Callithrix jacchus: one gene and its partners. The protein of the gene in region 1 binds, or shares a complex with, the protein of each later gene. Links are inferred from orthologs where the notes say so. Each region holds a gene or a part of one and is shown in the gene's direction. Other genes may lie near its edges. The genes, in order: HRAS, MAPKAP1, RASGRP4, GRB14, SOS1, RASA1 and PLCE1.

Region 1 (4,136 bases):
TTGGCCGCGTCCACGCGCGTCCTTCCCCAGCCGGGCGCTGACTGCGACCGCGTAGTGGACGGACGACAGGCGGGACCCCCGGGACCCCCCGTGGGTGGAGCCCGGGGATAGCAGCGACCAGCGCGGGAGGGCGTGGCGGCGGGGCGGGCGCTAGGGCCCGGCAGAGGCAGGGTTTGCGGGACTAAACCACCCGCCCTTTTTTTTTTGGAGACAGAGTCTCGCTCCGTTGCCCAGGCTGGGGCGCAATGGCGCGATCGCGGCTCACCGCAACCTCCACCTCCGGGGTTTAAGCGATTCTCCTGCCTCAGCCTCCCGAGTAGCTGGGACTACAGTCAAGCGCCACCACGCCCGGCTCATGTTTTGTATTTTTAGTAGAGACGGGTCTTCACCATATTGGCCAGGCCGGTCTTGAAGTCCTGACCTCGGGTGATCCGCCCTCCTCAGCCTCCCGAGTGCGGGGACTACAGGCCTGAGCACCGCGCCCCGCCCGCCTGTTGTTTTTTATTGATGATGTGTTTCTAATTCCTTTGCAATGTTAAGAGATGTTAAAAACACGCCCTTTTGAGTCTGAAAGGAGCTGGGACGTGCGCTTTTGTTGCTTGGGGTGGGCCCCGGGCACTTCGCTCCCCGACGGCAATTCCTGGCTGCGGTTTAACTGGACCCTCAAGTTTGGGGGGACTGGGCGGGCAGGGTCGCCTCTCAGCAGGCCCAAGTTAGAGGAAGGCGGTGGAGGGGCCGTGATCGGGGTGGGCTGCGGGCGGACCAGGGGAGCCGGGGTGTGCACGGGGGAGGCGCCGAGCGCACCGCTCCAGCTGCGCGGAAGGGGAGCCGGGCAACCGGAGGGCGCGGCCTCGGGGGTCCCCAGCTCCGAGCGGCCGGCCCTGGTCCCGGTGGATCCCGGCCTTTTCTCAGCCCGGAGCCCAGAGACCTCCGCGGTGGGCGGCGCCGCGCAGGGAAGGGCTCGGAGCCACGGGCGCCGCTGAGTCGGGCTCTCTCACCGGCGTGTTCCTGGGAGAGTCCGGGGGTCCCAGACGCCGGCTCCTCGCCCTCCTCGTGCACCCCACAGCGCGGCTCCGCGCGCCGGTCGAGCCCACCCCAGCGAGGCCTCCCAGCGAGGCCTCGGTCCCCCTGGCTCCACCTCCCGCGTTGCTCCCGGAAGCCCCGCCCGACGGCGGCTCCTGACAGACGGGCCGCTCAGCCAACCGGGGCGGGGCGGGGCCCCCTGGAGCGCGGCCAATGGTAGGCCGCGTCGGGCTGACGGACGGGCGCGGGGCGGGGCGTGCGCGGGCCCGGCAGAGTCTTCGCCGCCCGCAGCCCGAGCCGCACCCGCCGCGGACGGAGCCCATGCGCGGGGCGAGTCGCGCGTCCCCGCCCCCGCCCCGCCCCGCCCCGGCCCCGGCCCCGGGGGCAGTCGCGCCAGTGAGCGGTGAGTGCGGGCGGGGGTCTGCCGGGCGGCGCGCTCTCCCCGCCCCCAGGCGGCGGCTCTACGCGCGGCGCGGGCCGGGGGCGCGGGGCTGGCGGGCGTGACCGGCTGCGGCGGGCGGGCGGGGGCCGCGGGCACAGGTGAGCCTGCGTCGGGGGCTGCGGGGGCGGGGGCGAGCTCGAACCCCGTCCTCCCTGGGGCTTGCGGGAGCCGGAGCCCCGCCCGTGGCCTCGCGCTGAGCGCGGTCCCCACGCCGGCGTCCCCTGGAGCCTCGGGCCCGGCGCGTCTGGGCGGAGGCGGCCACGGCCCGCCCGGGCACCCGCATTCAGCATCACAGGTCGTGGGCCAGGCCGGGGCCCTCAGCCCCAGGGCCTTGCCCCCTCCGGGGCTCCCGCGCCGCCTCTCGGCCCCTGTTCCCGGGAGCCCTGCCCGTCCGTCTTCTCCAGCTTTCTTCTGCTGGATGCCCGGGATCCCCGCCGGGGGCGCGGGGCGCTGCCCGGGTCTGCCCTCCCCCCAGCGGCACCTGGCACGCAGTAGGCGCTCAGCAAATACTTGTCCGAGGCACCAGCGCCGCGGGGCCTGCGGGCTGGCATTGGCTTGCCCGGGCACGCCGTGGCGCGCTCCGCCGTGGCCAGACCTGTTCCGGGGGACGGTAACCTCAGCCCTCGGGCGCCTGGCGTTAGCCTTTCTGCCGACCCAGCAGCTTCTAATTTGGGTGCGTGGTTGAGAGTGCTCAGCGGTCAGCCCTGCCTTTGGGGGCCGGCTCCCTTTCGCCTCACTGGGTCATTAAGAGCAGGCGGGGACAAGACGACACCCCCACCCGCGGGGTCGCAGCCGCGCAGGTAGGCACGCTGCTGTCGTTGCTGCCACCGCTGCCGCCCCAGTGTTGGGGCCCAGGGCCCTCTGTGGGTTTGCCCTTCAGATGGCCCTGCCAGCAGCTGCCCTGTGGGGCCTGGGCCTGGCTGAGCAGGGCCCTCCTTGGCAGGTGGGGCAGGAGACCCTGCAGCACCCCGGGCTGCAGGCCCTGAGGAGCGATGACAGAATATAAGCTCGTGGTGGTGGGCGCCGGTGGCGTGGGAAAGAGTGCCCTGACCATCCAGCTGATCCAGAACCACTTCGTGGATGAATATGACCCCACGATAGAGGTGAGCCTGGCCTCGCTGTCCAGGCCTCCACAGCCGCTGTGGGAGGGCCCAGAACACGGCCAGGATGGGGTGGCTGCAGCTCCTGGCCCTGTATGGTGGTGTGGGCCTGTCTCCTGCTTCCCCCAGAGGAGGGGAGCCCCTCATCTCAGCACCTCTGAGAAGGGGCATGCGAGGTAGGAGGGAGGGGCTGGCAGTGTGAATTCCCTCCAAGGAGGGTCCTGAGGGGGTCCCTGAGCCATGTCCTCCTGCAGGACTCCTACCGGAAGCAGGTGGTCATTGATGGGGAGACATGCCTGCTGGACATCCTGGACACGGCCGGCCAGGAGGAGTACAGCGCCATGCGGGACCAGTACATGCGCACTGGGGAGGGCTTCCTGTGTGTCTTCGCCATCAACAACACCAAGTCCTTCGAGGACATCCACCAGTACAGGTGAACCACGAGGCTGGCCCAGGTGGGCCGTGCCGGACGATGGGGGCCTCCTGTCTTCTCTGTGCTTGTCCTGGATGCAGCTGTGCCTGTAGCCCCTGCCAGCTCTCCCCTTTCGTCTCTCAGGGAGCAGATCAAGCGGGTGAAGGACTCAGACGACGTGCCCATGGTGCTGGTGGGGAACAAGTGTGACCTGGCTGCACGCACCGTGGAGTCTCGGCAGGCTCAGGACCTCGCCCGAAGCTATGGCATCCCCTACATCGAGACCTCGGCCAAAACGCGGCAGGTGAGCCAGCTCTCCACCCCGCTGCTAGCCAGGGACTCGCCCGCCCCGCCCCAGCCAGGGAGCAGCACTCACTCACCCCTCTCCCTTGACACAGGGCAGCCGCTCTGGCTCTGGCTCCAGCTCCGGGACCCTCTGGGACCCCCCGGGACCCATGTGACCCAGCGGCCCCTTGCGCTGTAAGTCTCCCGGGACGGCAGGGCAGTGAGGGAGGCGAGGGCCGGGGCCTGGGCTCACGCCCTGCAGTCCTGGGCCGACACAGCTCTGGGGAGGCAGAGGTCCTTGGAGAGAGCTGCCCTGAGCCAGGCCGGAGCGGTGACCCTAGGGCCCGGCCCCTTTTGCCCCATAGTGTCCCATGGGCATCCGTTGGTTCTGAGCCCTTAGTGGGGCTGCCAGGGACACTGCTCAGATGAGAGCTGGGTGCAGGGTGGTCAAACCCTGGCCCTGGAGTTCAGGAGGGTCCTGGGCCATGCTGACCTTTGAGGGAACTGCTGTATCGTGATGGGGGTGGCCCCGGGGGCTTCGAGATGATCAGAGCCCAGCTTCCTGTCTGTGTGGTGGGCCTGGGGACGTGGCTGGGGGAGTCAGGAGCATCGGGCCAGGCAGGGCTTGATCCCACAGCAGGGAGCCCCCCTCACCCAGGCAGGGGGCCCCAGGCTGGTCCCCCCTGATGCCATCCCTCTTTTCTCAGGGAGTGGAGGATGCTTTTTACACGCTGGTGCGTGAGATTCGGCAGCACAAGCTGCGGAAGCTGAACCCTCCCGACGAAAGTGGCCCCGGCTGCATGAGCTGCAAGTGTGTGCTCTCCTGACACAGGTGAGGTGTCTCCCAGAGCGGCCACCACACCCACCGGATGGC
Region 2 (4,243 bases), on another chromosome or scaffold:
GCCACCTCCGCCTCCTGGGTTCAAGCCATTCTCCTGCCTCAGCCTCCTGAGTAGCTGGGACTAGAGGTGTGAGCCACCACACCTGGCTAATTTATGTAATTTCAGTAGAAATGGGGTTTCACCATATTGGCCTGGCTGGTCTCAAACTCCTGACCTCAAGTGACTTGCCTGCCTCGGCTTCCCCAAGTGCTGGGATTACAGGTGTGAGCCACCGTGCCTGGCCCCATGGCATATTTATTAGTGACTTTAAAATTGGGCAGGGTTCCCCCAGGACTGAAATTTAACCTTGATTTTTTTCTTTTACTATGGTGCTTTTTTTTTTTTTTGAGATGGAGTCTCACTCTGTTGCCCAGGTTGGAGTGCAGTGGCACAATCCCGGCTCGCTGCAACCTCGGCTCACTGCAACTGCTGCCACCTAAGTTCAAGCGATTCTCCTGCCTCTCAGCCTCCCAATTAGCTTGGATTACAGGCCCTCACCAGCACGCCCAGCTAATTTATTTATTTATTTATTTATTTTGGTATCTTTAGTAGAGACGGGGGTTTTAACCATCTTGGCCAGGCTGGCCTTGAACTCCTGACCTCGTGATCCACCCACCTTGGCCTCAAAAAGTGCTGGGATTATAGGTATGAGCCACCACCCCCAGCCACGCTACGGTGCTTTTTTGAGAGACTTCCCAGAGCATCTTTCGGGTGGGAGAACACTCTCACTGCACTGCCCGAATCCTTTTTCCCCCTTCACTGTGGCTTTCTCCACTGATTTCCTCCGTGAGAGAGAAAGAGAGCAGCGTGAGACAACACTAACTTCTGCCTGTGCCAGTCCTCCTGCATCTCATGGAAATCTCCCAGCAGGACCTGAGGAAGATTACTATCACCGCCATATTACAGGTATTATAAGAGAAATAACTAACATTGACTACATGTTTATTATGTATCAGGCACTGTGCTGGGTGATTTTCAAGCATCATCCCATTGGATACTCTAAAGTTGAAACTATTGCTCTGGATGGGAAAACCCGAGGCTCGGAGAGGAGAGTTGTCACGTCCTAGGACACACAGCAAGTTATAAGAGCTGGCATATCTGAACCTAAGTCTTTCTGATACAGAGGCTAAACTGCCTCATCACTCATTTCTGGACTAACTAAGGGTTTTTCTCCGTGGAAATGGGGAGAAAGAAGATTCGATGGAGAAGCGTAACACTGATTCCTGCTAAAGGCAAATCCAGACACGAGTGCATCTTGCCAGAATTCAGCCTCAGACTCAGGCCTTCTCCTGCATTGGAGAAGCGGCGCGCATGCGCCCGGCCTCCCTCCCGGCCCCGCCCCGCGGGAAGCTGTGGCCGCTTGCTTTCAGCTCTGGGGCTTGCGCACTACGTCCCCAGCCAGAGGCTCCTTCCCGGTCGGGGACTTCCGGAGCGCCGGGGTGTGGTTCCGGGTCGTGTGCGGCTTGGGGTAATAGGGCTGCTGCTCGGCCGGCCGGCGGCGGCGGTTGTGAGCACCACGGGCATGAGGGCGAACCCGGGAAGCGGCAGCTGAGCGGGCCGGGAGGAGCGCCGGTCCCCGTGGATCCCGAGAGTGCAGAGCTCGGGGAAGGGGCCGGGAGGCGTGGGGGAGCCGGGCCCTCCCCTCAGGAACGTGTCCCGGGGCCGACCCGGCCCGTAGTGTGGAAGCAGCTTCAGGTAAAGGTTGCCCCAGCCGCCAGCTCCCCGCTCGCCCGTCAGCCCACCAGCTTGCCCACCTGGCGACCCTCTCACCTCTCCGGTTTCGGCGCTGCTCAGCGGGCCGCCTGCCGGGCTCCTGCTCAGGTGGCCCGGGAGCATCCGTTTCCTGGCCTTTACCAGAACTGGGGACTGTCAGGAGTCTGAGGCGGGTGTGTGATTTAGGGGAAGGGAAGCCCATGGACCTGGTAGTGTTCGGGAGTAGCGGGGGCGGGGTGGGGAGGGTGCAGTTGGCTCCGGCAGTTTCTGGTCTTGCACTTGGCAATATCTAGGTGCCCTGGTCTTTATAATGTGAAAATCAAGGTTTTCAAGCATTGCCTGTGTGGTCCTTTTTCCTTGTGTCCCTTTTCCTCCTCGCCCTAAAGGGGTTAACAGCCTCGCAACTACAGTGCTGCTGAACTTTGATTCAATTGTTTGTTTATGGGAGTGGCAAGGAGTCCTTTAGATTTGTTTAAGGCGGGGGGAAAAGAAGAGCTTGTGGTGTAAACAAGAGTATGATTTTAACCAGAGACCCCCAAATCAACCCAGAAATTGGTTAAAATTTCCTTTTGAATGAGTGAAAAGTAACTTTTGAAGCCCACCACAGCTTCTGGCACTGTGCAAAGCACCATATTGTTATAAACCCAAATCGGCAAAGTTCAAAACTTTCCCAGGTGTGAACAGTCAAATGGAGACACATCGGTTTAAAAAAAGCAGCGTTCTCATTCTCTTGACAAGCAGAAGGGGTGGATTCCTAATGTTAAAACCCACTTGAGCAGAATGGGAGGTACCGTTTTATTCTTTATATTTTATGAGCCCATACAAGGTGCCTAGTAAACACTGAAAGAGTTCTTGATGAAGCAATAATTGTTTTCATGTTTTTCAGTTCACACAGCTGCGGGATGTGAAGCATGCTGGTAGCCCTTTCCCATTCAGCTGAGTGCTCATGCCTACTTTAAATACTGTGTGTACCAGACTGCACTTATATTCCCTTACATCTCGGAATCTGGCTCCTGGTTACCTTCCCAGTTATGCTTGAAAAGGTTTTCTTTTTTGAGAGGGAGTGTAGCTCTTGTTGCCAGGCTGGAGTGCAATGGCGCTCACTGCAGCCTCCGCCTCCTATGTTTAAGCAATTCTGCTGCCTCAGCCTCTCGAGTAACTGGTACAGGCGTGCGCCACCACACCTGGCTAATTTTGTATTTTTAGTAGATATGGGGTTCTCCATATTGGTCAGCCTGGTCTCAAACTCCCAACTTCAGGTGGTCTGCCTTGGCCTCCCAAAGTGTTGGGATTACAGGCATGAGCCACCGTGTCTGGTCAAGGTCTCCTTCTTTAATTACCCTACCTGATCCATTACTCTAAGTAGGATCTCAGTCACTTTTGTTCTTTCTTGTTCCATTGATTTTTTAGGACATTCTCCCTACCCTGCCTAGGTTTCCCCTTTTCTCTATCAAGATGCTTCCCACGGCTCAGCTGAAGTTGGCTGCTCTCAACCAATTCCCGACAACTCCAGCTGGAAATGGTTTTCCTACAGAATTCTATAAGCACTCATTTTATCTACAATTATTTAATTTAGTAAATGTTTACTAAGTATGGATATATACATGCCAGGTACCATGCTAGACAGTGTAGAGATAAATAAGATTCAGTCCTTGCTTCCAGGGAGCTCAATGTAGTGAAACAGAGATAAGGGAAATTAATAATTCTAACAGTGATAAGTACATTGTGTGAGAGTTCTTGTTGTGGCAGTGGTAGTCCAGGAGGGGAATGGGTTATTCACTTTTGAGGGATGGGATGTGGCCAGGTAATGCTTTATAATTTGAGGTAAACTCAACTTTGAGTATTTACTATGTATTGGGTATTATATAGGGATTTCTATTGTTTAATCATTTTAACCTCAATTTACAGATGAGGAAGACTCAATAAATTACACAGCTGGTACCAGACAGAGCCAGGATTCAAAGCCAGGTCTGTCTGATGCCTAAATCTGTGCTTTTTCCATTACATGTCTTGCCTTTGTCTCACACTGTCTCTTTGTGCAAGTAAATATTGAAACAAAAAAGTATACAGGATGAAACATATGAATGTTAAAATGAATGGTACAGAAATCTTTTAAATGCAAAGGCTGTGCTCTTCCAGGGCAAGGAGATGGCAGGTGGATTAGCTCAGCTTTGAATATGAGCAGAGAAGACAGTATAGAAAATAAGCATGGAGTCTGGATTCAATTCCCGGTCCCTGTTCTTACTGGATATGTGACCTTTGACACATAACTCCAAGCATCATTTTCTTCAGCTGGGGGTTGGGTTAGGGAATAATACCACATGGAGTGTTGTGAATATTTATTGAACTAACGGGGATAGAGGGCCTGGTACATGGTAAAGTCCCCCAAAATAAATAGCTATAAGATACAAAGGTATAATGCTTGAGGTATGGTTTTAGAGTGGTGAATGAGTTTACAGCCTGAGTCAAGCAAGTCATTGCTTCTTTTAGCAGGGTAAAGGATGGAAAGTTGGAGGGGCAGTAGGGGTCAGAGTTAGTGAGGGCTGAGTAC
Region 3 (3,648 bases), on another chromosome or scaffold:
GGGCATGGTGGCGCGTGCCTGTAATCCCAGCTACTCGGGAGGCTGAGATAGGAGAACTGCCTGAACCCAGGAGGCGGAGGTTGCGGTGAGCCGAGATCGGGCCATTGCACTCCAGTCTGGGTAACAAGAGCGAAACTCCGTCTCAAAAAAAAAAAAAAGACAGTATATGGAGCAGATAAGTTACTATATAAGTAACATGTTTCTTCCCCACTTCCCCTAGTGACTCAACTGTCCATTGATCTGAGCTCTGGAATTGCTGTGGGGTTCACATTTTTTTTTTTTTTTTTGAGACTTAGTTTCACTCTTGTTGCCGAGGCTGGAGTGCTGTGATGCAGTCTCACCTCACTACGACTTCTGCCTCCAGGTTCAAGGAATTCTCCTGCCTCAGCCTCCGGAGTAGCTGGAATTACAGGCATGTGCCACCATGCCCAGCTAATTTTGTATTTTTAATAGAGACAGGGTTTCTCCATGTTGGTCAGGCTGGTCTTGAATTCCCTATGTCAGGTGATCTGCCCACCTTGGCCTCCTAAAGTGCTGGGATTACAGGTATGAGCCACCGCGCCTGGCCTGGGGTTCACATTCCTAAATCCCAAGGTTCTGAGCTTCTCATGATGATAACCCCAAATCTCAAACTTTGACATATCCAAGAATCTAAGCAAAAGGCTAATAACAATTATTCATCATTGCCTATGTGCCAGGAGCCTCATTCCATCTTACAACCTTATGAGGTTGGGACCCTTACTGTATCCATTCCGTGAACTGGGAAACTGAGGCCCAGAGAGGTGGAGTCACTTGCTCAGTCCCACAGCAGTAATGCTAGGATTTGACCCCAGGAGGGGCTTTGAGAAGAGCCTGCAAATGGGTGTGGGGGCCGGGCGGGGCTGTTGATAGACGGAGCTGTAATACTCCTGTCTGCTGCAGCTCTCCCTGGACCTCTTCTACACAGAGGACGAGATCTATGAGCTCTCTTATGCCCGGGAGCCACGCTGTCCCAAGAGTCTGGTGAGACCCAATCCCTAACCTGGGACCCCCTCCTACAATTACTTCCAACTCCCCTGAGCCTATGCAGTGACTAACTCTGCCCCTCTGTCCCTGCCCCAGCCACCCTCCCCCTTCAAAGCTCCTCTGGTGATGGAGTGGGCCCCTGGTGTGACATCCAAGCCGGACAGGGTCACACTGGGTCGGCACGTGGAGCAGCTGGTGGAGGTGAGGAGGGGAGGGTGGCCTGGCCACCAGGAGCCAGGAGGGAAGACATCTGTAGAACCCTGAGCCTGGAGGTGGGGACTTGCAGCCCTGGGGAGCATAGTTCCCTGACTGGGCCTTACCTGCTTCCCCACACTCCTCTGAAGTCCGTGTTCAAGAATTACGACCCTGAAGGCCGAGGAACCATCTCTCAGGAGGACTTTGAGCGGCTCTCAGGCAATTTTCCCTTCGCCTGCCATGGGCTTCACCCACCCCCACGCCAGGGGTGAGTGGTTCTGGCTCCTGGATCACCCGAAGATGACTCCCAGGTCTGGGGGAGTTTGGGGCCGGTCATGCTGAGGCTCACTTTCTGTCCCTAGGAGAGGCTCCTTCAGCAGAGAGGAGCTGATGGGGTACCTGCTCCGGGCCAGTGCCATCTGCTCCAAGCTGGGCCTGGCCTTCCTGCACACCTTCCATGAGGTCACCTTCCGCAAGCCTACCTTCTGCGACAGCTGCAGTGGCTTCGTGAGCACTCTGCCTCATCACCACTCTTAGGTTCCATCTGTCCTGGAGCCGGCAGCCCCAAGCCCCAGAAAACCCCCAAATTCCAGAAATCCTCCAGCCTCGAATTATCCTGTTTCATATAAACCCTAAACACCAGACATTCCCTATATCCTGGATAATCTCCAAATGCCAGAGAATCCCCAAATCCCAGATAATCCACATCCCCAGAAAAATCACTGAATCACGGATAATATCTAAAACTCTAGATAGGAGGTCAGGAATGGTGGCTCACGCCTGTAATCCCAGCACTATGGGAGGCTGACGTGGGTGGATTGCTTGAGCTCAAGAGTTCAAGATCAGCCTAGGCAACGTAGCGAGACCCTGTCTCTTCTAAAAGTATAAAAATTAGCCACATGTGGTGGTGCACACCTATGATCTGAGCTACTAGGGATCACAGAATTGCTTGAACCCAGGAGGTGGAGGTTGCAGTGAGCCAAGATTGCACCACTGCACTCCAGCCTGGGTGACAGAGGGAGACTGTGTCTCAAAAAAAAACTTGGATAATCTCCAAAACTGGGTGGACTATGTTCAAACAGCATCATCCTCCAAATCTCTAGACTCCAGTTCATTCCAACCCTGAATAATTTCCAAATTCAAGATATCTTCATACTCTGGCTAGTGGATCAGTCTCTCAACCTCTAACCAGAGACTAATTCACAAACCCTGGATTACTTCCCACATTCATTTATTTATTCACGAAATAATTACTGAGCACCTCCTGTGTGCCATGCAATCTAAGGCTGTGGGGATAAAGTAGGAATACAGCAGATAATTCCTGCCCAAGGAATTTGCATTTTAGGCCAGCTGGGATCACTTGAGGTCGGGAGTTCAAGACCAGCCTGATTAGCATGGAGAAACCCTGTTTCTACTAAAATTACAAAATTAGCCGGGCATGGTGACACATGCCTGTATTCCCAGCTACTCGGGAGGCTGAAGCAGGAGAATCAATTGAACTCAGGAGGCTGAGGCAGGAGAATTGCTTGAAACTGGGATGGTGACCCTGTAGTGAGCCCAGATCAAGCCACTGCACTCCAGCCTGGGCAACAAGAGCAAAACTGTGTCTCAAAACAAAACAAAAATTGCATTTTAGTAACTTGAAATTTTAACTAAATCTAATATCCTAGGTGATTCTCTAAACTTGAGATAATCTCCAAGTTCCCTTTATTTATTCTGTTAAAAGATGAAAGATGGTCTTGCTCTGTCACCCAGGCTGGAGTGGAGTGGTGTGATCGTGGTTCATTGCAGCCTCCAACTCCTCTCACTTCAGCTGATCCTCTTACTTCAGCCTCCCAAGTGGCTGGGGCTACAGGTGTACGCCACTATGCCCAGCTAATGGCTAATTTAAACAATCTTTTTGTAGAGACAGGGTTCTCCCTATGTTGCCCAGGCTGGTCTTGAACTCCTGGACTCAAGCGATCCTCCCACTTTGGCCTCCCAACCTCTCACCTTGGCCTTTCGAAGTGCTGGGATTACTGGCATAAACCAACTGTACCCCACCCACATTCCTTTAATTACAATTAAATCTCTAGCCTTGAGAATTTCAAAACCTGGGTAGCTTCCACACTTCCACTCCCCAGCTGCCCTGCCAATCCACAGCCCTCCCTCTCTGTAACCTTTTCTGGTTTCTCTTCCCAGCTCTGGGGTGTCACTAAGCAAGGCTACCGCTGTCGGGGTGAGTGGGGCATCAGCGAGTGGGAGGGAAGCCTTGGCCCACGGGCTGGAAGAACGCACGGCACAGATTGGACATCCGGCCATTAACTGCTGCCTTCCCATTAACTGCTGCCTTCCCCCAGAGTGCGGTCTGTGTTGCCACAAACACTGCAGAGACCAGGTGAAGGTGGAGTGTAAGAAGAGGCCAGGGGCCAAGGGCGATGCCGGGCCCCCCGGAGCCCCTGTCCCACC
Region 4 (3,648 bases), on another chromosome or scaffold:
CAATACAGTTTCATAGCCTTATAGTGCCATAAGCCTTAGCAGGTCTGCAGTAGCGGAACAAAAACCAATCAAGAGAAAAAACTCATCATGCTTCTTCTTCCAGTGTTCCTCAAGCTACCCTATACTCTCATTTGAATAACTGAACTATACTGAGTTCTACAGCATCAGTGGACAGGGATGGTTTTATTTTATCTTCATAGAAATCAGACATTTTTACTCTCAAATTAGTTTCTATCAAGGAATAAGATTTTAAAAGGCATGGCAATATGTGTACCTTTCTCCTTCCTCCTACCTTGTTCCAAGAGTCCTATGCTGGGTCTTTTTAAAACAATTTTCTGTCTTATTCTTGAAACTACAGTCATTCATTAGATTAAAATGCTTAAGAACAGTGATACACAGAGAGACTCTTGCTCTACCAGTTATCAGCAGTGGAGTAACACCAGTAAGTGACAATAAAAGGCTTTTGGTTTTCGGATTTGAATAGGATTGCCTGTTTGGCTCAATATTCTTCTGTGGGGTGTTTTTAAATATTTTTTATTGTTTTTTTTTAGCACTGCTCCTCAAATTTTAGTGCTTATGAATCACCTGGGATCTTGTTAAATGTAGATATTGATTTAGTAGGTCTGGGATGAGCCCTGAAAGTTTGCATTTCTAACAAGCTCCCAGGTGATACTGATGCTGCTGGTCTGAGACCACACTACTAGCAGCAAGGTTTTAGAGAACAAATGCGTTTTGGTCAGTTTTGATTATACATTCAACCTCAGAATTAAGCACTTCTCCAAGTTATTAACCTATCACAAAATAATACGACCTACTGATTTCCCATGACCAGTTTTAAATCTCATGGATCTCCCAGAGAAGAAATAGCTAGCTGTTCGTGATTCCACTTTGCCTTGAAAATCAGAAACATTCTGCTGCCAGCTAATTTCCCTGAACTCCTCTATCTGTACAGGCTTGCTTTCTTTCTTTCTTTTCATAAAGTTAGAGATTCCTGCAGTTGCTGCTTCCTGTGGTGTGTTGTGCTGTACACAAATGTGAGGGATATTGTGTGTGAATGAAGCAGGAATCATTGTCTTGTTCTTTTTTTTCTTCTCTAACTGCTGCAGAAGCTCAAACCAACCTTCTCCCTTTTGTTGAGCTACCATTATTTGAAACCTAGATAAGCAATACATGTCCCAAAGCCAATCTTTTCTAACATTTTTTTCTCTCTCAGATTCCTTGAAAGGGTGGTTAAAGAGAAATGGAAGTTTAAAACAGAAATTTATTTTCATTATTGGAAGTTAAATTATAAACAAAATTGTCACTTTCCAAATTAAATAAAATTGTATGCAGCTCCTGGTTAAAGATATAGTAACTTATATTTGTTTTTCTTCTTTTATTTTTGTGGCATCATACTGAAATTCTGTTAGGCATAAGTTTTTGCCCAAGGTATATATTATATAATAAAAACACACAAAAAATATAATGCAAAAATATGTATCAATTTCAATACTTTTTTTAAGGAACCGCGGCATTTGCAGTTTTTCACTGAATTTGGCAATAGTGATATTTATGTGTCACCGGCAGGCAAAAAAAAACATGGAGCACCGACTAACTATGGATTCTGCTTTAAGGTACAGGCTTAATATTTTGATAGATGAATAAAGCAAGCCTCAGCCTTGTAGGTAAGCTTGAGTTTCTTTTAATTTCTTTTAAAAAGAGACAGCTTTCTCTTATATATAAGAGAATTTTAGTGGCTTTTATTTCAACAGGTGTTACCTTCAAGATATGCATTAACGATAAACAATGTGCTGTGGCCTTCTAGCCTAACAAAGCGGGAGGGCCCCGAGACCTGAAAATGCTCTGTGCAGAAGAAGAGCAGAGTAGGACGTGCTGGGTGACCGCGATTAGATTGCTTAAGGTAATCTCGCTGGAGGCATGAATTTCTATTAAATGCTGTGAGTACCATAAAAGTTAGAAAATATCAGTTTTTCAGAACATGAAGTCTTACTGAGTGGCTACATGAGAAAAAAGTAAAATAACCACCAATGTGTGTGCTTTTAGCATTCTAAATGATAAACATTTTCAGAGTAGAGTGGAATAACCTAATACATTTCTCTTTTGTGTGTGGAGTAGGTGTTCCATTTCTAGAGATGTTCTGATTTTTATTTTTGTGAAGGTATTAGCCAGTATAACTGAATGAAATGTCTCCTATACATGACTTAGTCTGCATTCTTAAAACATTGCCTGTGATCCAAGGTAAAGTATAGTTTAAGATGTGCCCATCCTTGAGATATTTAATGTAACTGTTTTGTGTTCTATTTGTGTTATATAAATTGCTTTCTAGTTTAATAAGCATGACTCAAATTATTACACAATTTTACTTGAATATATTTTTTAAACAACTACTCTTGTGCTAAGTAGAAGTTACAACTTCCGTGAGCATAATTTGTTGCTGCTGAACAATTTTGTAATAAGTAACAATATTGTAAAAGTAGATGCACATAGGAAATAAAAGCAGAACTGATTTCTTCCAGAATGTATAGAACACACATTTAGTTTGGAAAACTATTTGCCAGTAAATTGAGCAAAACTTAAAATTCATATTTATAACAATTATCAATGATTTCTTTTTAAAGATACTGGTTTGGTATACACAATTAGGGAAGAAATTAAAAAATGTTTGTTGTTGTTGAAAAGATACAATCCAAATGTACCTATCCACATTAGTTAGTATCACTGCTGCTGAAGCCAAAAAAATACATATTTTATTGTTATTAAAATTTTGATTTATAATAAAAGCATTAACATATTCTAAGATACTTTTTACCATTTATGCCTAGGCATTAATGTAATTTGCCAATATATTGACTATCCATATTATATGTGTGTTATATATATATTCCTTTTCTCACCACAGGAAGATTTAGATTATTAACAATGTGTGGCTAAAACTAGCTTTTCAATATAGTTAGAAATGAAAATCAGAACAGTTGGAGCATTGTGAAGTCTTTAGGTTCCCTCGTCTCATTTACCCTGAAGAAGGGGATGCAGTAAATTTTTCAATAGATTTGAAGTTCTTGTATTTTCTAGGTGTGCTTTTTTTGTTCTGCCTTTGCCATTTTTAACTCTTCTGCTCTCTGTTATCATTTTCCTAGCATCCTACTTAAGAGAGATCAGAGTAAAGAAGGACAGAATAGTCATAATCAGAATTATTGTCATAGCAGGTTTAGAAGAAAGTTTTATTTTGTATTCTTGTAATTTCTTAACTGAGGCAAAATTCACAAAATATATAATTAATCAAACTATTGTTAATTTAAGTGATTCAGTGGCATTTAGTGCATTCAGTTCCAAAGCATTTTATTCACCTCAAAAGCAAACTCCACACCCATTAAGCAGTTACTCCCAGGCCCTAGCAATCAACAATTTGCCTCTGTCTGTGTGGATTTACCTATTGTAGATATTTCATATAAATAGAATCATATAGTATGTGATCTTTTGCTTCTGACTTTTGCTTAGCATAATGTTTTGTGGTTCACCAACATTGAAGCGTATATTAGCTCTTTATTCCTTTTTATGGCTGTGTACTATTCCATTGTATATTTCTCTATATCTATCTATACGTTAGATAAACAATTTTTCCATTTTTTTGTTGATGGACATTTAGGT
Region 5 (4,118 bases), on another chromosome or scaffold:
AATAACTGAAGACTTTCTTTTTTTTTTTTCTTTTTCAGATTTTCACAGAGGTCCTGTAAAGATTATGAACCACTGAACATTTCTCATCTACGTGATCCTGGCTGTTGTTCTTAGGAATAGCAGGACACAATGTCAGCTTCAACCCAAGCTAGTTCCTCTAAACTGCATTCTTATCGGTGAAATGAAAATAATAGGGTTGCTATGGGGATTAAATCAGATGATACTCCAGAAGTGATCATTAATGATAAACCATGAGGTGTCTGCCACAAAGTGCCACTATTATAAACAGTGGCCTGGAGGGACAGTTTATATATACCGGTCCTTTAGCATTCCACTTTCACTGAGTGCCTGTTCTGTGTGGAGGACCTGGTGAAAAAAATCTGCCTTCCAGTTTATTATGTAGTTGAAAGAACCACAAAAGATACAAAACACTATAGACCAAATGCCCTGAGAGAGGAATAAGTGCAGTGTTCTGGGAGCTTTAGAAGAGGTCTCAGTATCCATTGGAGGAAAGTGCTTATTGGAATTCATATTTGGAGAGGGTTGAAAAGATGAACAAATGCAATCTAACACACACAGAAAATCAATACTACATGTACACATTTTATTCTTGATGACGTGGAAAGACCAGTTAAAAACACTGCGATCACTTCTATTGCCCAGCAGATACTTAGCAGTAGGTTTCGAGACAGAGCACCTGTATATTTTGTCCGGTCTGTTTACTATACATTGCGTGCTGGGCAGTCCTTATCTTTGTGTTCGGGAACAAAGTACACACGCCCCTTTCCGAAACGAAAGGCCCAGGGACTCAGAGAGGGGTAGGAGCCCTCACGGCTAGACCACACAGTGGGGGCTTCTTTACCGTAGTTCTTACCCCCTCTGCAGGCCCCACTTTGCCAGGGTTCGATTTCTCGGGCCCTTTCGCCCCTCCTCAGGAGTCCCCAGGAGCGCAACCACAGCCCGGTCAGGCGCCCTGCCTCCCTTCCCCACTCCCCCCGCCCCCAGCTTCCCTCCTCCTTCACCGGGAGCCGGAAAACCCGGAGCGAACCAGCCCAGCCCGGCAGCGCATGCTCAGTAGCGCGCAGGTTCAGTTTGCTAGTAGGAAGCTCCAGCGCTACACCGGCGGCGGCAGCGGCGGCACCTCAGGGCAGCCAGATTCCCCAACAACGACCTCGGGTCCTTCCCCTTCCCCGCGAAACCCCCTCCCCCAGCTCCGCCCCACCCGAGGGCTCTTGCGTTTCGGAGTCTCAACTGCGCGGAGCGGGCGCCGCGGCCAGAGCGTCCCTCCACACGTCCTCCCCCAGCCGCCAGCTCTGCCGCGGGGCCAGGCCGGACCCGGGAGTGCAGCCCCGGCAGGCGGCGGCGGTGTAGCGGGCCGCCCGGGGCGGCGCCGGCGGGCCAGGGAGGGGCGGGGGGGCCTGGCCCCGGGGCGGTGGTGCGGGATGCCGCCGCCTCCGGGTCGCATTCGTTCTCCACGGCTAGTACCCGTGTCGGGTGGGTGGCTGGGCGTGGGCCTCGCCCTTCAGCCCCCTCGCCAGGGCTAGCCCGGCTGCGCGGCGCCCGGAGGGGGCCGGGCCGTCCGGTGGGGCCGCGGCCCTATTCCGCGCAGCGAGCTCGCCCTCTCGCGGCTCCCCGGCCGGGCCGCCGCCGCCCCTCTCCCCGCCCAGAGGCGCCCTGGGGGCACCATGCAGGCGCAGCAGCTGCCCTACGAGTTTTTCAGCGAAGAGAACGCGCCCAAGTGGCGAGGACTGCTGGTGCCTGCCCTGAAAAAGGTGAGGAGCACGCCGGACCCCGCTTCCCGGCCGCAGCCCCCCAGCGCGGGCGCCGAGCAGGCGCAGGGGAAGGGCTGGGGAGGCGGGGCGCGCGCGCAGGGCCGTCTTTCTTCCCTGTCTCGCCGCGTCTCCGAAAGGACGGCGCACACGGGGAGGTCCCCCACACGGCTGGCTCTCAGTGTTGACATCCACCCGTAGTGTGGGAAGGCCGCGGGGAGCCGCGGGCAGTTGCTCCGAATAATCCAACCCCGAGAGGTGAATGCTTTGCCCTTTGATTCCGAGACAACGGTTGGAGAAGCCTCAGTTTTCAGTGGAGGTCAAAGCAGGCCACTTTTCCGCCTTCTCGGTCTTAGCCCGGAGCTGTTGTCAGCCTCATGTTTTAGGTGTCCAGTATGCTCGTTTTAGTGGCTTGAGAATGCCCTGGCCGTAACGCTTGCTCTAAGGAATTGCGAGCTCGCCTGCCAGCAGGAGCGTGGCCTGCTCCGCTCGTCCTCAGTAATCACTCTCTGTTCTCCTGATCTCCCCTGCTCCTCGGATTAACAGGGGCTGGTGCACATGCTACCAATTTCAGGGGTTTTGTTTTGTTTTTGCGGCATTCGAGATTCTTGGTGCTGTCATTTGGCTTGTTAAGAATTTTTAGTCTTTGTATGTTTAAGTTTGCTGTGTTTTTAAATGTTTTAGTATAATTAGGAAATGTTACATTTTTAAAGCTTCTAGAGCAACAGTGTACTAGACTATTTTTGTTTCCTTTTCTTCATTTACCTTTTCTACAAAGATTGCTTTACTCATCTAAGAGTGTTTCTAAATCTGTTTCTTGCTGCTCGAAGACTCTTTCATGTTAATTAGTTAACATATAGTTTTGCTTCTACTAAGAATGGAGATTATGTTGTACCTTTTATGCTAAGCATTAAAAGGTGTCTGATAGTGCTTAAAGGCCAGTAACTTTTACTTTCCCCTTTGCCCTGTTCTCTTGTCCCTCTTGCTATCTTACAGTGGAAACTATTTGGTTTGTTAGGAGAATTTGCTTATGTATTTCTGACTTAAGTTACTGACATTTTCCCCTTCAGGTGTCTGACTAGTCACGAACACCTATGTGATTTTTCTTTTTTTTTTTTTTAAAGAAAACCAAAAAGATGCCATATATCCTTTTCTTTTCTTTTTTAAATAAGATGGGGTTTCACCATGATGGCCAGGCTGGTCTTGAACTTCTGACCTCAGGTGATCCACCCACCTCGGCCTCCCAAAGTGCTAGGATTACAGGCGTGAGCCACTGCACCCAGCCGCCATATGTCTTATGTACTTTAATCCTTAGAAATCCCGTCAGGTTCTCACTACTTACTTTTGCTTTACCTGCAAGTTTGACTTCTTAGCGTGTAATGGAAGGGGTTTAGGAGGTCTCTGTGCTGCCAGAAGCTGATGTCCAGGTAGGGTAAGGGAAGACAGGGAAATTGTTTAAAAACCTGTAAAGGAACTCATAAAGCATTGCCAAATAGGGGCCATTTTGCTTAGAGGCAAAAACAGCTCCTATCCCGGGGGAATCACCAAGCTATCAGCTTAGGATCTTTTGAAGTAGTGGAAGAATACTGTAGGAGTTGACAGACCTTGTTTAATTCTGCCATGCTGGTGGCCCTTGCTGAAATCTGTCCCTAGAAGCATTTTGTTTGGCTGGCACAGTGTTGTTTTATTTTTAAATGTAATTAGTTGCTGGCATTTGAAAATGGGAGATATTACATAAAATCTGAATTTTCAGCTTTTCTTGAAGAATAGGAAGTTCTTGCTAGTTAGGGCCTGTATTCCAGCAAGGCACTAAACTGCTGGAGGTGAGTAAATGGTTGTCCTCTTTAGACAAGGCATGTATCTCCACCTTACCACAACCCCCACTTGTCCTCTTTGTTTATTTACGTAAACCAACTTTTGAATTTAAGGTAGAGATACTTTTGCAGTAAGTGATAGAAGAAGGTGGAAGTATACATAATCTAGCTAATGTGTAAGGTTCTTCCAATTCTTAAATAGCCAATAACTATGATTCTAAGACAAGATTGAAAATACAGTGTATTTCATATCTGGATATGTTGTCCGTAGCTCCAAACCTACATTTTTACCTGCCTGCTGGACATTTCATGTGGATATCTCCATATCTTGATTTCTTTTGATTCACTATTGAATTATTTATAGATGCATCCAACTTGTGCTCTCTTACTCTTACCTGAGGCTCTTTGGACATGCTAGTCCCCTCACCTTTCTTTGCCTGATCCAACACTACTCATCCTTCTAGACTTACTCAACCTGGACTATCACATCAGGGCTGAGTTGGATATTACTCCTTTGTTTTCTTTTCGCGCCCCA
Region 6 (3,648 bases), on another chromosome or scaffold:
CATATAATAGAGGCATTTTATTTTTTAGGAGCCCTACATGGAAGGTGTCAATCCATTCATCAAAAGCAACAAACATCGTATGATCATGTTTCTAGATGAACTTGGGGTATGTATATAATTTTTAGGTACTTTAAAATTTATAGTTAGTATAGCTGAGTTAACCCACTTAAGCAGCAACCTTTAGAAAGATTTTTCCATCCAGAACTAAAAAGACAAAAAGCCTGCAAATTTTTGTCTGCCTTCCTAAATAAAACAGTGCATTTTTGTTTGTAATTAATAGTTAACACCAAAGCATACATTACTCTTGGCTTTTGGACTACTTTCATCATATTTTAGGGTCTGTCTTGCCTTTCATATCCTTTTAAAGCTATCATATCTGACTGCCATGACATTCTGTTGAGTCCTACTTTGCTGCTACTATGTGGGGCTTGAAGCAAGACAATGACAGAGTTCTGACCAGGTTAAATAAATAGACTGAAGAGTGTTCTTTTCTAGAATAAAAGACATGAATTTGGTGTTATGCTTCATTGAGTGTGAATACCAATGCCTCATTTGGGCCTTGTTAATAAACTGTGATTACAAAATTATGAATGAGGATATTTTGTAATTTCTAGGACCCTGCATTTCTTAAGTTAAATTTTCATGATTGTATTTTCAGGTACTGAGTCAATTTTAAGCCAAACTAAACTTATTAGTAATTCAGTTCATATAAAGAGAAACCAGGAAGGTACATGTACACATGAATAGAGCCAGGTATATGGCGTGGCATTAGGGAGTGCCAGGATTGGAGACTGGGGTGTCCATCTTCCATCTTAATGCATTCAGATTCAGTTAAAAAGACCACCACGGCTGGGCGCGGTGGCTCACGCCTGTAATCCCAGTACTTTGGGAGGCCGAGGCGGGTGGATCACAAGGTCAAGGGATGGAGACCATCCTGGTCAACATGGTGAAACCCCGTCTCTACTAAAAATACAAAAAAAAATTAGCCGGGCATGGTGGCACGTGCCTGTAATCCCAGCTACTCAGGAGGCCAACGCAGGAGAATTGCCTGAACCCAGGAGGCAGAGGTTGCGGTGAGTCGAGATTGTGCCATTGCACTCCAGCCTGGTAACAAGAGCGAAACTTAGTCTCCAAAAAAAAAAAAAAAAAAAAAAAAGACCACCACAACCATACCACTGTGGCAAACAAATCAGGAATGCATGTAGGTCACAGGTTTGCAACCTCAGGTATAAAAACAAGTATATGAAAAATTATGGCATAGCTCTATCTTTATTGTGAAATTGACAAAAATGCTATAAGTTCATTCTTCTATATGTGAACTGGGATATAAGTGGTCAATCATTTGAAACCATTTTTCTGTAATGTTTAAAAGGAGCTGTGTGAGAAATTATGCCAAACAATCTAGGATTTCATACTGCTTAGAATCCAAATATAATATTCTGATTTTTTCACCATCCATATAAACCAAATTCACTTTTGATGACCCACCTTGATTATTATCTCCTTCAGGAAGCTTTTGCTGAGCCCCAAAGATGAATAAAATTTGTAACTTTTGTTTTACCTCCTAAGTATCCCCTGCATACCTGCAATACATAACTCTGTTGCTACAGTTACTTTTCTAAAGGCCTTTCTACTAGAGTCAGCTCTCTGAAGGCAAACTTGGTGTATGTCATCTCTGTAATCCTTTACTTGAATCACTAAATGAGTGTATTCTGCATAACTGTTTATTCTATAGAAAATATTGTTTTGCAGTTTTTAGTAATGTTAGGCAAATATTGTCCCCATTTTACTGGTAACCCAAGCCTTTGCTAAATGTTATTCCAAGGCTTAAAGTAGCATTGGCATTTAGTATTGATAATGGTACAGGTTGAGTATCCCTAATCCAAAATCTGAAATGCTAAAAAAGCCAAAACTTTTTGAGCACCAACAGGAAAGGCTACTTGGAAGTTCCAATTTTGGATTTTTGGATTGGGGATACTCAGCTGGCAAGTATACTGCAGATAAATATTCCAAAATCCTAAACACTTCTAGTCCCAAGCATTTTGGGTTAAGTGATATTCAACCTATACGATAAACTTTAATTCTAGTGACTTAAGTTACTTTATGAACCTTATCTAAAAGTATCATAATTAACACTGATTATTCCCACATGTTAGCAAGCATTCTGAGCAGAGTCCACAGATAATTGCAAACCTGACATATTCTCATTGCATTTTCATAGTGCAGCTCCTACTTATATACAGATCAATTCGGACTAACTACAGGAGCTTAATAATGGAATTTAGTCTAGGAATTTTAAGTTTAGGTTGAATTTAATCCAGATTAACAGTTAACCTATACTATTTGGTATATGTTCTAGATTTCAGATATAAATTGTTATGAAGCCACACCCTCCACCATTATTTTTAGAATAGCAATAATATTGTACCATATCCTGCCATTCTGTGGAAGAAAATGGAATCTGGCTTTCATATGAATAGAAAGGTTACAGAGTTTATACCATAATCAATGCTGAATGTTTCAGTAAGAATCTTTAGAATTTTAAGAGAAATCTGAGAATTAAAAAAAATTATCTAAAATACCCGATTAGAATCTTTTCACATGAGACTATAAAGATTTGTATTCCTAACAAAAAATTAGCCAGGCATGGTGGGGTGGGTTCTTGTAATCCCAGCTACTCAGAAGGCTGAGGCAGGAGAATTGCTTGAACCTGGGAGGCGGAGGTTGCAGTGAACCATGATGATGCCATTGAACTCCAGCCTGGACAACAAGAGTGAAACTCCATCTCAAAAAAAAAAATAAGATTTTTATTTTTTGTATTTCTAAATGCAATTTTATGATTCCCTTCAAGAATGTGCCTGAACTTCCGGACACTACAGAGCATCCTAGAACTGACCTGTCCCGTGATTTAGCAGCACTGCATGAGATTTGTGTGGCTCATTCAGATGAACTTCGAACACTCAGTAATGAGCGTGGTGCACAGCAGGTAAGTGTTTGCCAGCCTTCATTATCAGCGACATTTCAAGGGTTAACACTCTTGAGAGGTAATAAACAGCTGAATTCTGGTTAACATTTTTATCTGGTTATATTAAATTTTTGAGACTCTGAATCATATAACAAAAGATCTCAGCAGACAGAAATAACAGGCCCAAACTAAAATGATGTACATTTAAAACTGAAAAACATCTGATTTTGCTCTTAAGTCTGAATGTTGATTGTATGGGAAAACATTGTTAATATACTTTGGTGGCATATGTGAAAACTGCTAGTAAGTCAGTATTGATTTTTTTTCAGTTTGTGTCTTCTGTCATATACAGATACAGTGCATAACCAAAGTGATTCTGAAATTGTGAAACAAATTACTATTATTTGGGATGTTTGTCAGATTTCACATCCAGAGATTCTGAAGCGTGGCCTTGAAAACTGCACTTCTAACAAACTCTTACAGGAATTTATAGGGATTCACATGCAAGTGACCCATGGCCTACACTTTGGGAAACAGTAGACTTACATAGACTTCTGTCTGCCATCTGCACTAACCAGATACAGATTAGGATGTATTCAAAGAGGGACTAGAATTTCAAGGGATTTAAAACCAGGTCAATTAAGGTATTAGAACAAAATGAATTACATTTTGAATGTCTTCAG
Region 7 (3,648 bases), on another chromosome or scaffold:
TGTTATCAAGAACCTTTCATACTTGTCACAGGGATCTCTCCTTAACAATATGGCAGCAGATTACCCTCAGAGCATGTGAGAGAGGAGCAGCAAGGAGGAAGCTCCAATGACTTTTATGACTCATTCTCAGCAGTCATGTACTGTTCCTTCTACCATATTCTGTATGTTAGAGGGAAATCACTAAGTATAACCCACATCCAAGGGGTGGGGAATTGGGCTCCACCTTTTGAAGAGAGGAGTATCAAAGAATTTGTGGACATATTTTAAAACCATCATACTATCTCGCAGCATTGAGTGAGAATTATGCGAGATAATAATTGCAGAGTTGCCAGGCACAATGGCTCACACCTGTAATTCCAGCACTTTGGGAGGCTAAGGTGGGAGGATTGCTTGAGCCCAGATGTTCATGATCAGACTGGCCAACATGATGAACCCCTGTCTTTACCAAAAAATACAAAAATTAGCCAAGCACTGTGCTGTAGTCTCACCTACTTGGGAGGCTGAGGTGGGAAGATCACTTGAACCCAGACTGGTTTTAAAATATGTCCACAAATTCTTTGATACTCTCCCTTCAAAAGGTAGAGCCTAATTCTGTTCCCCTTGAATGTGGATTATACTTAGTGATTTCCCTCTAACATAGAGAATATGGTAGAAGGAACAGTATGTGACTGCTGAATCCAGGAGGCAGAGGTTGCAGTGAGTAGTGATTGGGCCACTGTACTTCAGCCTGGGACTCTGTATCAGAATGAGACTCTGTCTCAAAATTATAATGATGATGATAATTGTAATGCTAACAAAAATAATTGCAACATCCTTAGGACAGGAACTAGACAGCACCAAAATGTTTTCCCTCTCTCCAACTTCAATTTATTTACCTCATGGGTAAGAAAGGACATATTAGCCATCAATCTGAAGGCTGTGGCCTGAAAAATCTCTTTAAAAATTAGAACAAATATTTGAATTCAAGTTAGTGCCATATGCCATTAAAGTTATCTATATAATTCTTCACCTAAGAAGTTGTTCATGGTATGCTTTGAATTTTTAAAGCAGGTACAGAACAGAATGCCCAATATTATCTGGTATTTGCATAGTTAAATACATATATCCCTATGTATGTTGATTCATAGGGAGTGTTCTGGAAGGAGGTTTCTTAAAGTAATGATAATAGTTATTGCTGTGTGGTAGGATTCATTAGGATGCTAAGCTAGGACACTGCTGCTCTGTGTGGGCTGGTTTATTCCCTGTAAAGATATGAATGCTAGAGTGTCCACTGATTTTTTTAGAGTAGTTGTAGAGATATGCATATACTGGGAGCCTCTCACCTGAGAAGCTGTGTTTGTGCTTGAGGGAAACATATGGAAGGAAAGAAGGGAGAGCTGATGACTCTTTGGGGAAAGAGGGTATGGGAGAAGAAAGGGAAAGAAAGATATCTATTTGACAAAGAGAAAAGGCAAGGCCAAGCTGGTGTTGACAGCAGAGTGTGACTGCTCATTATTTGTCTTGGGAGGAACAGCTTTACCTGAAAAAGAATGACATGCTTATGATGAGCACCCTCTAATCCCATAGTGTCTTGTATATCCTTTATAATTGTGTTTCCACATTGGATAGAAAATTGTTTTATTCCCTCTCTATTAATAGTTACAAGCAGTTCAGTTCTGTTAGTTACCAATTATTTCAGGTTTATATGTCTGGAAAATATTTTACTTAATTTTTATTTGCAGAAGATATTTTTGCTGGGTATAGAATTTGAAGTTGACAGTAGTTTTTCTTTCAGTACTTTGAAGATTTACTCCACTGTCTTCTGGCTTGCATTGTTTCTGATTAAATGTCTGCCACCATTCTTATCTCTGTGCCTCTTTACTTAATGTGCCTTATTTCTCTAGCTTCCTCGGCCTTCCTGAAGTCTCAACTTTTTCTTTTCTACGCAGGTAAATAGCTGGATTTTAGCTGAGTTTCCTTTTTCTACCTTGTAGCCTGGAAATTTTCTAAGAAGTAAGCCAGCCAGGACATTTTAGGACTCACTTCATTTTTTTTTTTCTTTCAGAGATCAATGTCTGTGTTGCCTGTTGTTCAGTGTCTGAGAACCATTTTTTTCTTAATTTTTATTTTTAGTTATTTAAGGTGGATGAATAAATCTGCCCTTGTTACTCCATTTTGGCTGGGAGCAGAAGTTCTAAAATATTAAATAAAAAAATAACTGCTAAAAACATAAAAACCAACTTCTGATTACAAAACAACCATTTTTCTCAAAATTTGTCTACATCTTGGGAGTGTGAGCTCATTTTTTAAAAAAACTCACTGAGTGACACAGTGGTTTGACATTATCTCTTTTCTTACAGGATGCAGGAATCATTCAAACTGGATTTTTAAATCATTGCAAGTCAATGATGTATCAGAAGTTGCAGAGTGCAAGCCTGAGTAACAGTCTTCAAAAAATTTTGCTTCAGATAACAGAGAAAAGAAAATTGATCTACCATCTTAAAACTCTGATCTAGAAAAATATATATTCATGATAAGAAGTTATAATTGAGAAAAATTATTTTCCTCTTAATGCACCTGAATGAAAGGAACTATCCCTTTGTTTCTTGGGAGGAGTTGTATGTCTAAGATTGTCATAATAATGAGTCATTTTATTAAAACCTTGACATGATCACCAGGGAAGAGAAATAGAGCAATAGCTGGAACCTGTGTGTTAGTCCAAGATGACTTCTGAAGAAATGACAGCTTCTGTTCTCATACCTGTGACTCAGAGAAAAGTTGTTTCTGCCCAGTCAGCTTCAGATGAAAGTAGTGAAAAGGTCTCAGATATCAATATTCCAAAAGCACATACTGTCAGACAGACTGAGCAGACTTCTCATACCATCTCACGACTGAACAAACTTAGAGAAGAATCTTCTGGAAGCAACTTGCCAGAGATTCTCTCAGTAGCAAGGGAGAAAATAGTGAGTGATGAGAACAGTAATGAAAAATGCTGGGAGAAAAGCATGCCAGATTCTGTGAAAAACCTTAACATTAACTGCAACAACATATTGAGAAACCATCAGCATAGCCTTCCTCAGAGACAGTTTTATGAAATGCGCAACTCTGTTGCTGAGGAAGACCTGTGTTTAGAAACTGGAATTCCTTCTCCACTGGGAAGAACGGTGTTCCCTGGAATTCAACTGGAACTAGACAGACCTCCCATGGACATTAGTCCTTTGGGAAATCAGTCGACGATCCTAGAGACAGACAGAGTACACCCTGACAGCAGCACGGCAGTATTTCATTTTCATTATGAAGTTGACAGAAGAATGTCAGACACTTTCTGTACCCTGTCAGAAAAGTTAATTTTAGATGACTGTGGAAATTGTGTACCACTACCCAGGGGTGAGGAGAAGCAAAAGAAAAACTATGTGGCATATACCTGTAAACTAATGGAATTGGCAAAAAATTGTGATAGTAAGAATGAGCAGTTGCAGTGTGATCATTGTGACACCTTGAATGAAAAATACTTTTGCTTTGAAGGCTCTTGCCAGAAGGTTGATCTGGTATATTCAAGTGATAGTTTTTCCAGGGAAGATTTTAGTGACAGTCAAGCTGCCAAGACCTTTTTGAGCCATTTTGAGGACTTCCCTGATAAATGTGAAGATGTAGAAGAAGACTTTTTTA

Evidence for each region.
Region 2: the proteins of HRAS (region 1) and MAPKAP1 are in contact, whole or in part, in a crystal structure (PDB 7VV8), measured with the Homo sapiens proteins. The link is inferred for Callithrix jacchus from reciprocal best matches to the Homo sapiens genes HRAS and MAPKAP1. Residues at the interface, in NP_001123914.1 of Homo sapiens: Gln25, Asp33, Ile36, Glu37, Asp38, Ser39, Tyr40, Arg41, Leu56, Glu63, Tyr64, Met67; in NP_001006618.1 of Homo sapiens: Glu277, Ser278, Phe280, Ala286, His287, Gly288, Phe289, Ser290, Leu291, Ile292, Gln293, Arg311, Arg312, Lys313.
Region 3: the proteins of HRAS (region 1) and RASGRP4 are in contact, whole or in part, in a crystal structure (PDB 6AXG), measured with the Homo sapiens proteins. The link is inferred for Callithrix jacchus from reciprocal best matches to the Homo sapiens genes HRAS and RASGRP4. Residues at the interface, in NP_001123914.1 of Homo sapiens: Glu3, Gly12, Gly13, Gly15, Ser17, Ala18, Ile21, Asp33, Pro34, Thr35, Ile36, Glu37, Tyr40, Arg41, Asp54, Leu56, Asp57, Ala59, Gly60, Gln61, Glu63, Tyr64, Ser65, Ala66, Met67, Arg68, Asp69, Gln70, Arg73, Thr74; in NP_733749.1 of Homo sapiens: Tyr228, Gly232, Val234, Val244, Asn248, Ser251, Asn288, Met291, Ala292, Gly295, Gly296, Cys298, His299, Ser300, Leu327, Ala328, Ser329, His330, Asn331, Asn332, Tyr333, Ala334, Arg337, Leu351, Gly352, Val353, Leu355, Lys356, Val359, Ser360.
Region 4: the proteins of HRAS (region 1) and GRB14 are in contact, whole or in part, in a crystal structure (PDB 4K81), measured with the Homo sapiens proteins. The link is inferred for Callithrix jacchus from reciprocal best matches to the Homo sapiens genes HRAS and GRB14. Residues at the interface, in NP_001123914.1 of Homo sapiens: Glu31, Asp33, Pro34, Ile36, Glu37, Asp38, Ser39, Tyr40, Arg41, Tyr64, Met67; in NP_004481.2 of Homo sapiens: Val109, Lys111, Asp116, Glu117, Thr118, Ser119, Arg120, Ala121, Leu122, Asp123, Lys140, His142.
Region 5: the proteins of HRAS (region 1) and SOS1 are in contact, whole or in part, in a crystal structure (PDB 4NYM), measured with the Homo sapiens proteins. The link is inferred for Callithrix jacchus from reciprocal best matches to the Homo sapiens genes HRAS and SOS1. Residues at the interface, in NP_001123914.1 of Homo sapiens: Gly13, Gly15, Ser17, Ala18, Thr20, Ile21, Gln25, Asp30, Glu31, Tyr32, Asp33, Pro34, Thr35, Glu37, Tyr40, Arg41, Asp54, Ile55, Leu56, Asp57, Thr58, Ala59, Gly60, Gln61, Glu63, Tyr64, Ser65, Ala66, Met67, Arg68; in NP_005624.2 of Homo sapiens: Glu589, Lys602, Trp809, Thr810, Lys814, Leu822, Met824, Ile825, Arg826, Thr828, Thr829, Thr832, Glu836, Asn869, Leu872, Val875, Ser876, Asn879, Ser880, Ser881, Tyr884, Ser908, Asp910, His911, Tyr912, Lys913, Leu916, Phe929, Phe930, Gly931.
Region 6: the proteins of HRAS (region 1) and RASA1 are in contact, whole or in part, in a crystal structure (PDB 8BOS), measured with the Homo sapiens proteins. The link is inferred for Callithrix jacchus from reciprocal best matches to the Homo sapiens genes HRAS and RASA1. Residues at the interface, in NP_001123914.1 of Homo sapiens: Gly12, Gly13, Ser17, Ile21, Gln25, Asp30, Glu31, Tyr32, Asp33, Pro34, Thr35, Ile36, Glu37, Asp38, Ser39, Tyr40, Arg41, Gln61, Glu62, Glu63, Tyr64, Ala66, Met67, Lys88, Lys117; in NP_002881.1 of Homo sapiens: Gly746, Arg749, Glu783, Thr785, Thr786, Arg789, Ala790, Thr791, Glu799, Lys803, Ser833, Arg894, Gly898, Phe901, Leu902, Arg903, Cys906, Pro907, Leu910, Asn911, Met914, Arg928, Ile931, Ala934, Lys935, Gln938, Asn939, Asn942, Val944, Ala948.
Region 7: the proteins of HRAS (region 1) and PLCE1 are in contact, whole or in part, in a crystal structure (PDB 2C5L), measured with the Homo sapiens proteins. The link is inferred for Callithrix jacchus from reciprocal best matches to the Homo sapiens genes HRAS and PLCE1. Residues at the interface, in NP_001123914.1 of Homo sapiens: Ile24, Gln25, His27, Val29, Glu31, Asp33, Ile36, Glu37, Asp38, Ser39, Tyr40, Arg41, Glu63, Tyr64; in NP_057425.3 of Homo sapiens: Phe2138, Pro2146, Glu2147, Gln2148, Pro2149, Arg2150, Thr2151, Val2152, Ile2153, Lys2154, Lys2171, Tyr2174, Ser2175.

What each region holds. Positions count from the first base shown.
Region 1 is NC_133511.1:131,356,657-131,360,792, forward strand, and holds the start of HRAS (GTPase HRas), read left to right. Parts: upstream 1-1,294; 5' UTR 1,295-1,426; intron 1,427-2,171; exon of another isoform or gene 2,172-2,265; intron 2,266-2,408; 5' UTR 2,409-2,457; coding exon 2,458-2,568; intron 2,569-2,819; coding exon 2,820-2,998; intron 2,999-3,121; coding exon 3,122-3,281; intron 3,282-3,375; exon of another isoform or gene 3,376-3,457; intron 3,458-3,969; coding exon 3,970-4,089; 3' UTR 4,090-4,094; intron 4,095-4,136. UniProt on the Homo sapiens protein: Involved in the activation of Ras protein signal transduction. Ras proteins bind GDP/GTP and possess intrinsic GTPase activity.
Region 2 is NC_133502.1:174,287,707-174,291,949, reverse strand, and holds the start of MAPKAP1 (target of rapamycin complex 2 subunit MAPKAP1), read left to right. Parts: upstream 1-1,415; 5' UTR 1,416-1,674; intron 1,675-3,600; 5' UTR 3,601-3,660; intron 3,661-4,243. UniProt on the Homo sapiens protein: Component of the mechanistic target of rapamycin complex 2 (mTORC2), which transduces signals from growth factors to pathways involved in proliferation, cytoskeletal organization, lipogenesis and anabolic output.
Region 3 is NC_133523.1:33,997,981-34,001,628, reverse strand, and holds part of RASGRP4 (RAS guanyl-releasing protein 4), read left to right. Parts: intron 1-921; coding exon 922-1,002; intron 1,003-1,101; coding exon 1,102-1,206; intron 1,207-1,349; coding exon 1,350-1,468; intron 1,469-1,562; coding exon 1,563-1,707; intron 1,708-3,381; coding exon 3,382-3,418; intron 3,419-3,539; coding exon 3,540-3,648.
Region 4 is NC_133507.1:65,136,580-65,140,227, forward strand, and holds part of GRB14 (growth factor receptor-bound protein 14), read left to right. Parts: intron 1-1,502; coding exon 1,503-1,613; intron 1,614-1,804; coding exon 1,805-1,900; intron 1,901-3,648. UniProt on the Homo sapiens protein: Adapter protein which modulates coupling of cell surface receptor kinases with specific signaling pathways. Binds to, and suppresses signals from, the activated insulin receptor (INSR). Potent inhibitor of insulin-stimulated MAPK3 phosphorylation.
Region 5 is NC_133515.1:75,898,154-75,902,271, forward strand, and holds the start of SOS1 (son of sevenless homolog 1), read left to right. Parts: upstream 1-1,249; 5' UTR 1,250-1,685; coding exon 1,686-1,772; intron 1,773-4,118.
Region 6 is NC_133503.1:123,489,779-123,493,426, reverse strand, and holds part of RASA1 (ras GTPase-activating protein 1), read left to right. Parts: intron 1-28; coding exon 29-106; intron 107-2,851; coding exon 2,852-2,986; intron 2,987-3,066; exon of another isoform or gene 3,067-3,648. UniProt on the Homo sapiens protein: Inhibitory regulator of the Ras-cyclic AMP pathway. Stimulates the GTPase of normal but not oncogenic Ras p21; this stimulation may be further increased in the presence of NCK1.
Region 7 is NC_133513.1:86,752,936-86,756,583, forward strand, and holds part of PLCE1 (1-phosphatidylinositol 4,5-bisphosphate phosphodiesterase epsilon-1), read left to right. Parts: intron 1-2,339; 5' UTR 2,340-2,702; coding exon 2,703-3,648. UniProt on the Homo sapiens protein: The production of the second messenger molecules diacylglycerol (DAG) and inositol 1,4,5-trisphosphate (IP3) is mediated by activated phosphatidylinositol-specific phospholipase C enzymes.